3 linked regions of the Schizosaccharomyces pombe genome follow. Changing the gene in region 1 together with any one later gene gives a genetic interaction. Each region holds a gene or a part of one and is shown on either strand. Other genes may lie near its edges.

Evidence for each region.
Region 2: mutations in pus1 (region 1) and meu13 together harm fitness less than expected from each alone (positive genetic interaction), as found in Schizosaccharomyces pombe (one large-scale study listed by BioGRID).
Region 3: mutations in pus1 (region 1) and sec28 together harm fitness more than expected from each alone (negative genetic interaction), as found in Schizosaccharomyces pombe (one large-scale study listed by BioGRID).

The regions. Positions count from the first base shown.
Region 1 is NC_003421.2:2,118,721-2,123,130, reverse strand, and holds pus1 (tRNA/U2 snRNA pseudouridine synthase Lsp1), read right to left. Parts: upstream 2,517-4,410; 5' UTR 2,467-2,516; coding exon 1,390-2,466; intron 1,325-1,389; coding exon 969-1,324; intron 930-968; coding exon 758-929; 3' UTR 501-757; downstream 1-500. Other genes in the region: SAGA complex deubiquitinating submodule subunit Sgf73, read left to right, coding at 1-380; Ku domain protein Pku70 , read left to right, coding at 3,713-3,745, 3,811-3,993, 4,065-4,161, 4,236-4,410. UniProt on the Schizosaccharomyces pombe protein: Formation of pseudouridine at positions 27 and 28 in the anticodon stem and loop of transfer RNAs; at positions 34 and 36 of intron-containing precursor tRNA(Ile) and at position 35 in the intron-containing tRNA(Tyr).
Region 2 is NC_003424.3:975,416-979,137, forward strand, and holds meu13 (homologous-pairing protein 2), read left to right. Parts: upstream 1-2,293; coding exon 2,294-2,342; intron 2,343-2,388; coding exon 2,389-2,442; intron 2,443-2,489; coding exon 2,490-2,591; intron 2,592-2,633; coding exon 2,634-2,774; intron 2,775-2,862; exon of another isoform or gene 2,863-2,917; coding exon 2,918-3,222; downstream 3,223-3,722. Other genes in the region: GTP-binding protein Sey1, read right to left, coding at 1-722, 830-915, 974-1,048, 1,162-1,318; SPOM_SPAC222.18 (Srp1 family splicing factor), read left to right, coding at 3,488-3,606, 3,705-3,722. UniProt on the Schizosaccharomyces pombe protein: Required for proper homologous pairing and efficient cross-over and intragenic recombination during meiosis. Acts indirectly in a process facilitating homologous recombination. Acts during mid- to late-horse-tail period.
Region 3 is NC_003423.3:2,325,193-2,329,001, forward strand, and holds sec28 (coatomer epsilon subunit protein), read left to right. Parts: upstream 1-2,281; 5' UTR 2,282-2,313; coding exon 2,314-2,344; exon of another isoform or gene 2,345-2,388; coding exon 2,389-3,224; 3' UTR 3,225-3,309; downstream 3,310-3,809. Other genes in the region: put2 (delta-1-pyrroline-5-carboxylate dehydrogenase), read left to right, coding at 64-1,710. UniProt on the Schizosaccharomyces pombe protein: The coatomer is a cytosolic protein complex that binds to dilysine motifs and reversibly associates with Golgi non-clathrin-coated vesicles, which further mediate biosynthetic protein transport from the ER, via the Golgi up to the trans Golgi network.

The DNA of each region.
Region 1 (4,410 bases):
GTAAAACGCATTCAATGTCAAGCAAACGAGCCGTTCCGGGAAGATCTCAGCCATACGATGTTTTGCTTGCAGCTTGTCAAAAGAAAAACCAAGTAAAAATACAACGACAAATCCTCGAAACTGCAAAAGAATCCGAAGATAATCAGCATCAAGCGCCTGTTGATTCTGATGAAGAAGTCAGTTTCATTATGAATGTTCTCCAGAAATCTGGCAATCAGCCTTTGGAGCAAAAAGTTTTTTTACCCGTAAAACGTCGCCATTCGTATTTTCGTACTAGAGAGTTAATAGCTGCTGCATTTCGACATGGTGAGCAGGGTATGCAAGTTACTGGTACTATATTGGGACGAGTGATTCCTTTTAGTGCCCGCCAACCACTATAAAGAAATTCTTTTGATTTTGCTTCGGTTGATGATTTAAATTCTTTATGAGATTATAGTTTACATTTTGGTCTACTTGACCACGCATTTTCGACTTTTTAATTTTCTCCTCCGTTCATCTAGTTTCTATTTCATTAATTTTTTCATTTTTTATTTTGTATATTGCACCATACGGTCTTAACATTTGGAATAATCAAGTAGAAGTTAATAAACTATAAAAATACCAATAGAACCCAAAACCAATAATCAATTCTAAAAAAAAGAAAGAAACAAGTATTCTCCAAAAATATATGTACACGTTTGTAGTCTAATTTTTTAAAAGAAACAGCAAAGTTTATGGTATCAGTTTGTTGCAAATCCTCAGTCTCACAATCAATCCTTTAGCCCTCTAAATCATCCTTGTTTTCAGCCGAATCTTCTTCTTCATCGCTAGAAAGAACATCAGGCAATTTTGAGGAAACCTCTTGCGTCTTTTCAGTAATGCCTATATCTGATAAATAACTGAAATCTTCTTCATTATAACTGTCAATAAAAGACAAAAAACAATGAAATCTAAACCGGTTAGTTAATTTAAGAAAAAAATATACTTACACTTGTTTACGAGCTTCTTCGAGAAAAATTTTATCATAAATATGAGCATGCTTAAAAGCAGTAATTTTTTGCTCGTACTTTGTAAAGTCGATAGGATCACGATTATTCTCTGGAGCTTTATGTTCATTATAACCTTTAAAAAACGGTGACTCTAATAAAAGTCCAAAACCAGGTCCCTTGGGTATGTTAATTTTTGTTTTTTTAAAGGCATCTTGTATGCGCTCAACAGGACAACCCGTTCGTACAACTAAAATAGCAAGCGCAATCATCTTTCTAATTTGGTGCAACATAAAAGATTGACCATGAACTTTACATGAAATCCATTCTGTATCGCCAATCATGAATGGATCAGATGCCTAGAATGTTAGAAACAAGACTTGTCAAGAATACTATAAATACAAAGAAGATAATTCTTACTTACAGTAAAAGAACGGATCACGCGATTACTATTCTTCTGATGAAATGCTTGCCCCACAGTAAAATTGTGAAAGTTATGAACTCCAACATATTGGTTTAAAGTTTCTCGAATAACGGACAGCCTATCTGCGGAAATACGGTAATTTTTTAATTTAAGTACTTCAATGTGCTTAAGTGCACGTTCGAGACGATAACTGGGATCAATCTTGGAACCAGCAGATTCGTCTTCAACAGAGTCAGGCTTTAAAAACTCGTTTACAATAGCAGAGGAATCGGAATCCATATCTGGATTAGTTTTAGCGGAAACTCCTGCTTCAGAGCCCTTATTATTTTCCGAATTAGCAAGAGCAGCAGCTCCCCTTTTAGAATATGGATTTACGAAGCCTTCAGGATCCTGTTCATAAAGGCTCAAAATCTCTTTGGCTGCAATATCATAATCATCCCAAAATTCCTTTCCTTCTTCATAAAATAATGAACGACTGAGTTGATTTATATTTTCCTTGTTAATTGGCTCAGCAGGCATGGGAGAATTCTTCATAATGCAATTTCCAAGTATGGACGAAGGTTTCGGTGGAACAAAAGCATACGTTGGAACCATATATTCATATATACGAGATTCGCAATAAGTCCTTGGGTTAAAAGAATTAATAGTACGGATCACATCCCATAAGCGAATGGAAGGAGGGAGGTGTTCGTTCACTTTTTCAATTAACTTCTCATCTTCCATTATAAGTTTGAGACTGATAACATTTCCAGCGGCATGAACTCCTTTATCAGTTCTTGCGGCTCTTGCTAAAGCAACTTTCTTTGGGTCATCAGCGTTATAAGAAGAAACGGCACCAGCCTTCACAAAAGCATCAAAAAGATCTCCTTCGATTGTTTTACTAGGAGGATTCAATTGCATACCATGATATCCGCTACCACAATAACCTACAAGACAGGCGACCTTTCTTTTCGGCTTTTTTTCTCCAACTACCAAATTCTCTGGCCGACCTTCTCCATTGTATATAGAATTAGGTCGGTTCCTTTTCGCTTCTCGACGATCACCATTGTACCAAGTGCGTTTACCACCACGTCCCATGCTGTAGTTAATATTATTTGTTTTTGATGAAAACGCAATTTACGCTGCACAGGTAAAAATTCATTTAAACATAGTAGAGTATATTTTCTTAATAATGAAATGCAAGGAATCGTTATTCATTCAATAAGATAAGAGTATAATTACACGATGGTTCACTAAACAATTATAAAACAATATACTTCGCTTACCTTAAGTTAAAAGTTTTAAGAATTAAAAAGCTAAATATTGTATCGCATTTCGAGCAAAAACAGATTGATGAAGCATTCAAACCAAAAAAAAATAATCAGCCTGAAAAAGGAATGACTTAAGACTGACTATTAATTGTTGCTTATTCTCTGTCTCTGTGTTTTATCTTTTGTTACCAGTTGTCGAAGTAAAGGCCAAATTGAAACCCGTGACTAATCCTTCCAATAACTAAGAAAAGTATACCTATTATCAATTTTATATCAAAAATCTAGTCCTTTTCATCGTTCATAAACCTCATTTTTTATTTTTTTCTTCCACACGTTACGAACAAAACCGCAAATTGTCAGCAATACTACACTAAGCTATGATATATTACGTTGCGTTTCACTATATGTCACATGTTCTAATTATATATCGTACCATGTATGATACGATATTGATATTGATCTTAATTAAAATCTATTAATATGTATATTATCTGAATACTATAAATAGAGCTACTGCTGAACCTCGTTCCTCAGTTCAGTTATGAGCTATATTAGTGATAGGTAACATTATAACCCAGTTAATACAATACCTATACTCAGTTGCTACTTATACAACCTGTGTATTGTAATATAATAGATCACAAGGAAAACTCACCGCAGTTCTACGTATCTTTAAATCAGATACCAAACTGCGTAGCCGACACAAATGAACTATAACGAACTAATATTAGTTGCAACTTACGACGGCTTTACTTGAGCTCTTTAAATTTAACGTATTCGCAACAATCACAGTGCGTGTAAAACACCCACTAGAATGTTGACACCATTGTGCATTTTATTATTTTTCTCAAATATTGGAATTGGTGCTTAATAACTCATATTGGTATATCAATATATTAAATTATTTGACATTTAAGATACTAATGAAATAGTTATTTCATTCGTGTGCTTTAGCCGTTATCATCGGACGGTTTACATAAAATATCAGCGTTTTTATAATTACGCGTGCTTCTTTTTTCTTTTTGTCGTATTTAAAAAGCCAAGGAAATTGTTTTTGATAATCTGTTTTTTACATGGAAAACGATGAACAAATAGATGAGACAGAAGTATGACCAATATGGACTGGTAGACGCAGGTGTTTTGAAATTATTATGCTGACGATTGTTTAAAGAATTTTGCAATTGGAAAATATGCCATTTTATTTGTGATTGAAGTTTCTCCCAGTATGCTTGATCCTGTCGATGAATTTACTCCCAGCTCTTTGCAGATGGCACTTATTTGTGCGTACCAGCTGGCGGCTCAAAGAGTAATCACAAATCCCAGCGACATAATGGGTGTATTGCTCTATGGTACTGTAAGTTTAATGCTGCATTTAAATTCACCGACGTTTACTTCTGCCATTAAATGTCTCTAACCACAGCGCAGGAGTCCTCTACGGGCCGATTCGCAAATCAAATGATGCTTTTAGACATTGATCCTCCTGATGCTGAACGTATTAAAAGCTTACAAAGCTTTGAAAAAGGTAAAAGCTTTTAACCGATTACTTTCTTTCATGCTTTTTCCCCACTGATTACTAATTTTGTTCAATTGTTTAAGATTTCCAATTCTCAAAAGAAAAATTCAAACCATGCTCTTGTCAAGTTTCTCTGTCTAGTGTACTTTATCATTGCAGTGTTATATTTACTACTAAAGCTGAAAATTTTGAAAAACGCTTATTTTTAATTACAGATAATGACCATCCTGCTTGGGATGCAACTGAACGCGATATTAT
Region 2 (3,722 bases), on another chromosome or scaffold:
TGCACGTTGTATCTACTAGCCTGTCGATCATAAGCTTCGATAACAGTTTCAAACATGTTTAAGAGCTTGGTAGGAAGGTCCTTGCATAAATTACCGGGTAAAAACTCTTTTTGTAAAATAGTACAAGCAGTAGAAAAAGGTTCCATTACTTCAGTAATAATCTCATCGCAACGATATTGAGCAAGCAATTGCTGTTGTGTAGGTAAATCAAGGTCCTTGTTGTTTTCAATGGTGTCCCATATCTCACGAGTATAAAGAGAAAAACCATCAGCGGGGATTTTTTTATGATAACTCACATTAAATATGTAATCAGAATTATTGTTATCCACAAATCTTTCACGCAAACTATCAACAGCTTCACTGAAAGCATCAGAACATAAAATCTTATGTGGTAAACCAGTGAAGCCAACATCAAAAAAGTCATTAATTACGGAATTTTCGAATCCTTCTGGTTTCGAAAGGGATGCCCAAATGTTATTCAAATCGGTCATAATAGTATCTGCTAAATTTTCCATTGAAGTATTTCCCAAAAAATCCCGAATAACAAATTGAAGCAAGCACCTTTCTTTTTTGTTATGAAAAAGTTGTAAATTGACTTCTAGTACTGTTTTAAGTAATGCCATGTTTGAGCCTTGGTATAGACCAACCTGATTTTCCCACATATTAACGATAATTACTTCACTAGTTGAAATGGAAAATAAAGCTGATTTTCTTTCAAAATCCTAGGTTGGTTAGTAATGACTCCAAAAGAAAATATTGATCAATTATGAGTAAAGGAAATACTAATGTGTAACTAATAGTAACAAATTAGTTCGCATTAAAATCTTACCTGATCTTCACCGCGCTCTCTACCATCGGTGCCTTCTACATCCATTACAAGAATAGGCGAATTGTTTGCCTTCGACAACCAAATACCTAACAAAAATTAGCAGCAAGCTCAGATGTTTTAATTAAAAAGAAATAATAGATTTACCTTTAGTAGTTTGTTGCCTTTTGGAAGCATCCATTACTGAAAATGAAGTCCCAAATAAATTATTTAGCAATGTACCTAATCATAGAGTTAATCAAATTTGCTCAGTGAAAGCTTTAAGTATCCAATTTAAAAGGATGTTATAACATTGGTTGGATATAGAACTCTCAAGTTGATTTTAATCTACTTACTCTTGCCAGTAGATTGGGAACCCAAAACGGCAACAACATGATAGTTGAAACCAGCATCTAACAGTCCTACGCTTTGCATAAACTTTGGTAATTCATTGTTGAATTGTTTATGTTCATCCACAATTTGTGTGGAAACCCTATTGGAAGCAGTACTCATGTTTTGGTGTAAGCGGAAGACAAGTTAACAAACATATAAGGTAGTGTGATGTCGAGGATGTAATATATCCTGACAACATTTTCAGTATTCATTAACAAATATATAACTATTTAAGTTAAATTATTGTAAAAAGACAGGTTTTGCATAATTTTGTTTATATAAATATCATGAAACAGATGATACTTTTCCTATAGTAAACTAGCAATGGCATAACAACACTCGTTAGCTCTTCCTTTCTAATGTTTACTAAGTTACTCTGCGAATGTTCAGATGTTTGTCTGTTAGCTCCATATATTTTCTTGTTAAAATTATGATTTTTAAAGAAAGAAAATACCAAGGATTTAGTTGAAGAAAGGAATGTATTTTAAAGAGTCATTCGGCCATTGTTTTGAATCTTTTCACAATGGTCTTCAAAGACTTATCGCATTTACAGACAGGAAATTTGTGCTTTTCTAAAAAGGAAACAGATTTGTATGTTTACAGAGAACAGTACTTAATAATAGGTATTAGATGCAAAATCAAGAGTGTAGCTTAAACGTTTCTCAAAAGCGCTTCGTAGTATTCGACGATATCGGTTTCATTCAATTTGTGAAGTGTTTTTGACGTTGCCGAATATGCTAAAAAAGTACAAACATACTATAATATAGCCCTTCGCAAGGTTGGAAATTATTTAATTTAATAAAATTTCTAGCATAGCTTTAGGAATCGAATTCTTTGTACTAATGTCTCACTATCCTATGCAACCTTCTTTCATTGACACGATGCGCAATTCAACCCATCGTTATGAGTACTTTATATAGGTGCGTAAAATAGTTAAAATCCTTTCTCATGGATTTTCTTCCTTAGTTTAGCTAAGAACAAAGGAGAATGGCTTGGGGAAAACGCGTTGTCTCCGCCACGCGTAAATATTATATATAAATGTTTGATGCTACATCGCGCTTTTACTATTTTCCTCACACATCGCAATTGTAGCAAATGGCTAAGGCGAAAGAAGTAAAAGCGAAACCTATTAAAGGAGAGGAAGGTATAATATTGACAAAAGGCATTGGTATTCAGCTAATCAATCGCAGCTGAAAAACTTGTTTACGAGTATTTACGAAAAACGAATCGTCCCTATTCTGCAAGTAAGAACATACATTAAAAAAATCGAAGCTGACAATTTTGTTAAAAGCTGACGTTAGTGCTAATTTGAAAAATGTTGTCAGTAAACAGGTCGCGCAGAAAGCATTGGAGCAGCTACGCGACACTGGACTAATCCATGGGAAACTATATGGTACTGAAAAATTAGTTAAACAGATTACTAACGATTACTGAGGAAAACAAAGTGTGTTCGTTTGTCTTCAAGATGACTTGGCAGCTGCTACTCCTGAAGAATTGGCTGAAATGGAGAAGCAAATTCAAGAACTAAAAGATGAGGTTTCAGTTGTTAAAACTCTATACAAAGAGAAATGCATTGGTCAGTAAATAAATGCTATTCTTTAAAATGTAGAATGATACTTCACATAATATGCATGATTTAAAACAGATCAAAGTTTTATTGATGGTATCGTTCATTTGTTTTGAGCGTACACAGCACTTGTTTTATGCTAACTCTAAAAGAATTACAAGCTTTAAATAACTCACTCAGTCCAGCCGAAATTCGTGAAAAAATTCAGAGCATTGATAAAGAAATTGAAGAAACCAGCTCAAAACTCGAATCTCTTCGAAATGGTACCGTTAAACAAATTTCCAAGGAAGCAATGCAAAAGACTGATAAAAACTACGATTTTGCAAAAAAAGGATTCTCAAACAGAAAGAAAATGTTTTATGATTTATGGCATTTAATTACTGATTCCTTGGAAAACCCTAAGCAGTTATGGGAAAAACTGGGATTTGAAACGGAGGGACCAATTGACTTAAACTAAAAACTTAACTTTAAATTTAGCTGATCCCTTTTTAACATTTTAATCATTAAATTTATATAGCTCAAAGAAAAGTCATTATCCATAGTTAAATATAAATACCTTAGCAGACAACTGCTCTAATATGTGCTTGCATTGCTGCACAACATTACCTGTCCTCTTGCTATACTGTGTGGTTATGACTAGTGCTTCTTACGTCGTGATAGCTTTGATTTTTTGGTTAAAGTAGAAAGCCTAGTGAAAGCATTAGATTTTGCAATTTAAGCTAATGTCTAATGCACCATCAAATACGCCAACAGGGTTTAATTATAAACCTGGGCATACTTTGTATATTCGAAATTTCGGAACGGATATGAGAGCCCGGACACTAGGCCAGGCCTTTGAAAAGTAATTGTTATTGAATGACTGATTGTAGATTACAACTTTGGTTTTCAGTCAAGTGATCTCTATTTTTGTATCGCATCTGTTCTAATTGATGATAATAGATGGGGTAGAATAGTTCG
Region 3 (3,809 bases), on another chromosome or scaffold:
GGTTTTCTACGTTTTATTTATGCGATATTAATACTTATTAGATTTATTTCATTTTTAAGTAAAATGTCACAATTTGCTGAGTTCAAATTACCTGCCATTAAGAACGAGCCTCCTAAACACTATGGTCCCAATAGTGCTGACAGAGAGGGAATCGTCAAGGCCTACAAGGAGTTAGAGGCTGAATTACCTGTCACTATCCCTGTCATCATTGATGGTAAGGAAGTTGAAACGAATACCATTGGTGAGCAGCGTTGTCCTTTTGAGCACAAAAAGGTCGTTGCTCGCTATCACCGTGCTGGTGCCAAGCACGTTGAAGATGCCATTGAGGCAGCACTTCGTGGAAAGAAGGTCTGGGAATCCTTACCTTTTGCTGACCGTTCTGCCATTTTCTTGAAGGCTGCTCATTTGATAAGCACCAAGTACCGTTACAAGCTCATGGCTGCTACAATGATTGGCCAGGGTAAGAACATCTGGCAAGCTGAAATTGACGCTGGAATGGAGATCATTGACTTCCTTCGCTTCAATACCAAGTATGCTAGTGAATTATATGCCAGCCAACCTCCCGAAAACACTCCTGGTGTCTGGAACCGTATGGAATATCGTCCTTTGGAAGGTTTCGTTTATGCCATTACTCCTTTCAACTTTACAGCTATTGCTGGTAACTTGGCTGCTGCCCCCCTTCTCATGGGCAACGTCGTTTTAATGAAGCCTTCTGACCATGCAGTCCTTTCTAGCTACATTGTTTACCAAATCTTCCGTGAAGCTGGTCTTCCCGCTGGAGCACTTCAATTTATCCCTGGTGACGCTGTTGAAGTCTCCAAGGTTTGTTTCAACCACCCTGAGTTTGCTGGTCTTCATTTTACTGGTAGCACAGCCGTCTTTCGTAGCCTTTGGGGAACAATTGGCGAGAATGTTGCCAACGGAAAATACCGCACTTACCCCAAAATCGTCGGTGAGACTGGTGGTAAGAACTTTCATCTTGTACATTCTTCCGCTGAAATTAAGAGTGCCGTTGTTAATGCTGTTCGTGCTGCTTTCGAATATCAAGGCCAAAAGTGCTCTGCCCTTTCTCGTCTTTACGTTTCTAAGTATGCTTGGGAAAATGGTTTCCGTGATGAGCTTACCAAACAGGTCAAGTCTCTTAAGGTCGGTGCTCCTTTAACTGATTTTGCTAATTTTGTGGGCCCTGTTATCCATCAAGCAAGCTTTAACAAACTGAAGAAGGTTCTTGAGAGTGCTGCTTCCGATTCTGAAATTGAAGTTTTGGCTGGCGGTAAAGCTGATGATTCCGAAGGTTTCTTTGTTGAACCTACCGTTTTACTTTCTAAAAACCCTAAACATGATATATTCGTTAACGAATTGTTCGGCCCCGTACTGTCTGTTTATGTATATGAGGATGACAACTTAGACGCTGTTTGCGATCTCATCGATACTACCACTCCTTATGGTTTAACCGGATCCATCTTCGCTCAGGACCGTGTTGTTGTCAGAAAGTTGACTGACCGTCTCCGTAATGCCGCTGGTAACTTCTATATCAATGATAAGTGTACTGGTGCTGTTGTTGGTGAACAACCTTTTGGTGGTGCTCGTGCCAGTGGTACTAACGATAAAGCTGGTAGCGGAATGATTCTGTCTCGATTCGTTTCTCCTCGCTCCATCAAAGATACGTTTGCTTATGCAGACTCTGTTTTATACCCTTCCAACTTTTAAGTTTGTTTTGGCCTTTTTGATTTGGATTTAATTTTTAGAATTTAGATAGACATTGGAGTTGTAGAGTGTTTTACTCTGTACTTTGATACTGCCATAAAAAAGACCACAACCTTTTTTTTTTTGGGTTTAGTACAATATGTGAGGAATAAAGGAAGTATATATATATATATATATTGATTAGTTACCTTGAGTTAAACTCAAACTTTCAAAGGTAGTCTAGGTTTTACAATTTTTTTTTTTCTTTTTTTTTAAAGCTCGCCATTTGTTATTCTAATAAATTATAATGTTCGCTTTGTTAACATGTATTGATTTATAACACTAGATTTGTTGCATTGTATATAAAAGCCAGTGGACCAAAATGTAGTTTGCTGGTGATTCTTGAATACAACAACGACCTGTAGAAAAAGGATCTCAATTATCGAACATTTTACTTGCTGACTGCGAAATATATTATATTAGGCTTCGGAGCAATTAGAAAAATTACAAGTCTTGATGGAAAGTTCGTTTGCTTTACATTTTGTTGTAGGGTTACTCATGTACAAACACCATTAACCCACATACTCTCTACTCCACACATCGCCCAACATAATTAAAACTTTTAACATGTTTTCATGGGAGGCTAGTTTATCTAATGGTAAGAGATGAGTTGGGAATTAAATAACAACTAATATTTGATAGAACTGTATTTTGTTCGTCAATACTTTTATAGTGGAAACTATACAAAGTTATTTGAAATTGACACGACATCCATGTCTGAAAAAGGTCTTGAATTGACCGAAATTTATATGGCAAGGGCAAAATTAGCTTTAGGTGAAAGTTTAGAATCAATCCAAAGTATTTTAACTCAAAAAACGCCTGGATCAGCTGCTATTCTGGCGCTGGCTGGGGAGGGGAACATGGAGTTAATTATTGACCAGCATGGCAATTCAGACAGTGTGGTACAAACATTAGGAGCTATTTTTCAAATTAAAAATGGTTCTTTTGATGATGCAATGGATTTATTAAAGAAGTCAGTAGAGAACTTGGAGGCGGTGGCGCTTCAAGTATACATTCATTTACGAGAGCACAAAATTGAAGCTGCTGAACAGACATTGAAACAGGCTTTGGATTGGGCTGATGAAGAAATTGTACTACAGCTGGCACAATCTTGGATTAAAATAGTTAGTGGAGGCGTCGAATCCTATAATGATGCATTTTATGTTTTTGAAGAGTTAAACGGAACTGATAGCAATCCAATGACTTTAACTGGTATGGCGTGTGCAGACATATGCTTGTTGAGACCTGAAGAGGCTTTGAGCTCGCTGAAAACTGCCCTCGATTCTCAACCAAATTACGAGGAGGCACTATCAAATATGACTACTGCAATCACGGATTTAGGCCCTGATGCTCCTTCTCAAGCCAAGAATATACTTTCATCTTTTACAAATTCTTCTACACTGAAGTTGAACGATCATTTAAATGAAAAGGCGCAAGAATTTGATACTTTTTCAACTCAATTTTTGAGTACGGCTTAATCCAATAATAATATTGTTTAGAATCTTCAATCCATTAATAAACTTCAAATGTTTGCATTTTTAGTATTTATTCATTGACTATTGCTTCACTCAAGTAATGGCTCGTTGATCTGTCTGGCAAAGCAAGTCAATCCAGTATTGCCTCGATAAATTTCAAGTTTACCAGAAGTAAAGGTATTAAACTAATTAATTAGAAATACTTAACCGCATGCAGAAGAAGACTCATGTAGACATAATAACAAGAAAACGCACCCGAATATATCTCGAAATGAAACATTTAAATGAACGCCGTCACAACAGGAGCGTCTTTAAACCGTTTACTTTTATTTATCAAATACATTCATTAATTAAAAATGAACTATTATGACTATCCACCTATATATTTGTTTTTAAAAATCTAGAATAGGTGGTTCTTGTCCAAAATTACTCAAAACCTGCAGTGCCACAAAATGACAAGCAACAAGTTTGCCTTTACAAATAGAAAAGAAAGATGTTTTGAAATACACAGGTGTTTGGAATTTGGAAAAAGCAAGAAAACCGATATTAAACGATAAGACTTTAAGAATCGAAGATGAACTTGCTCAA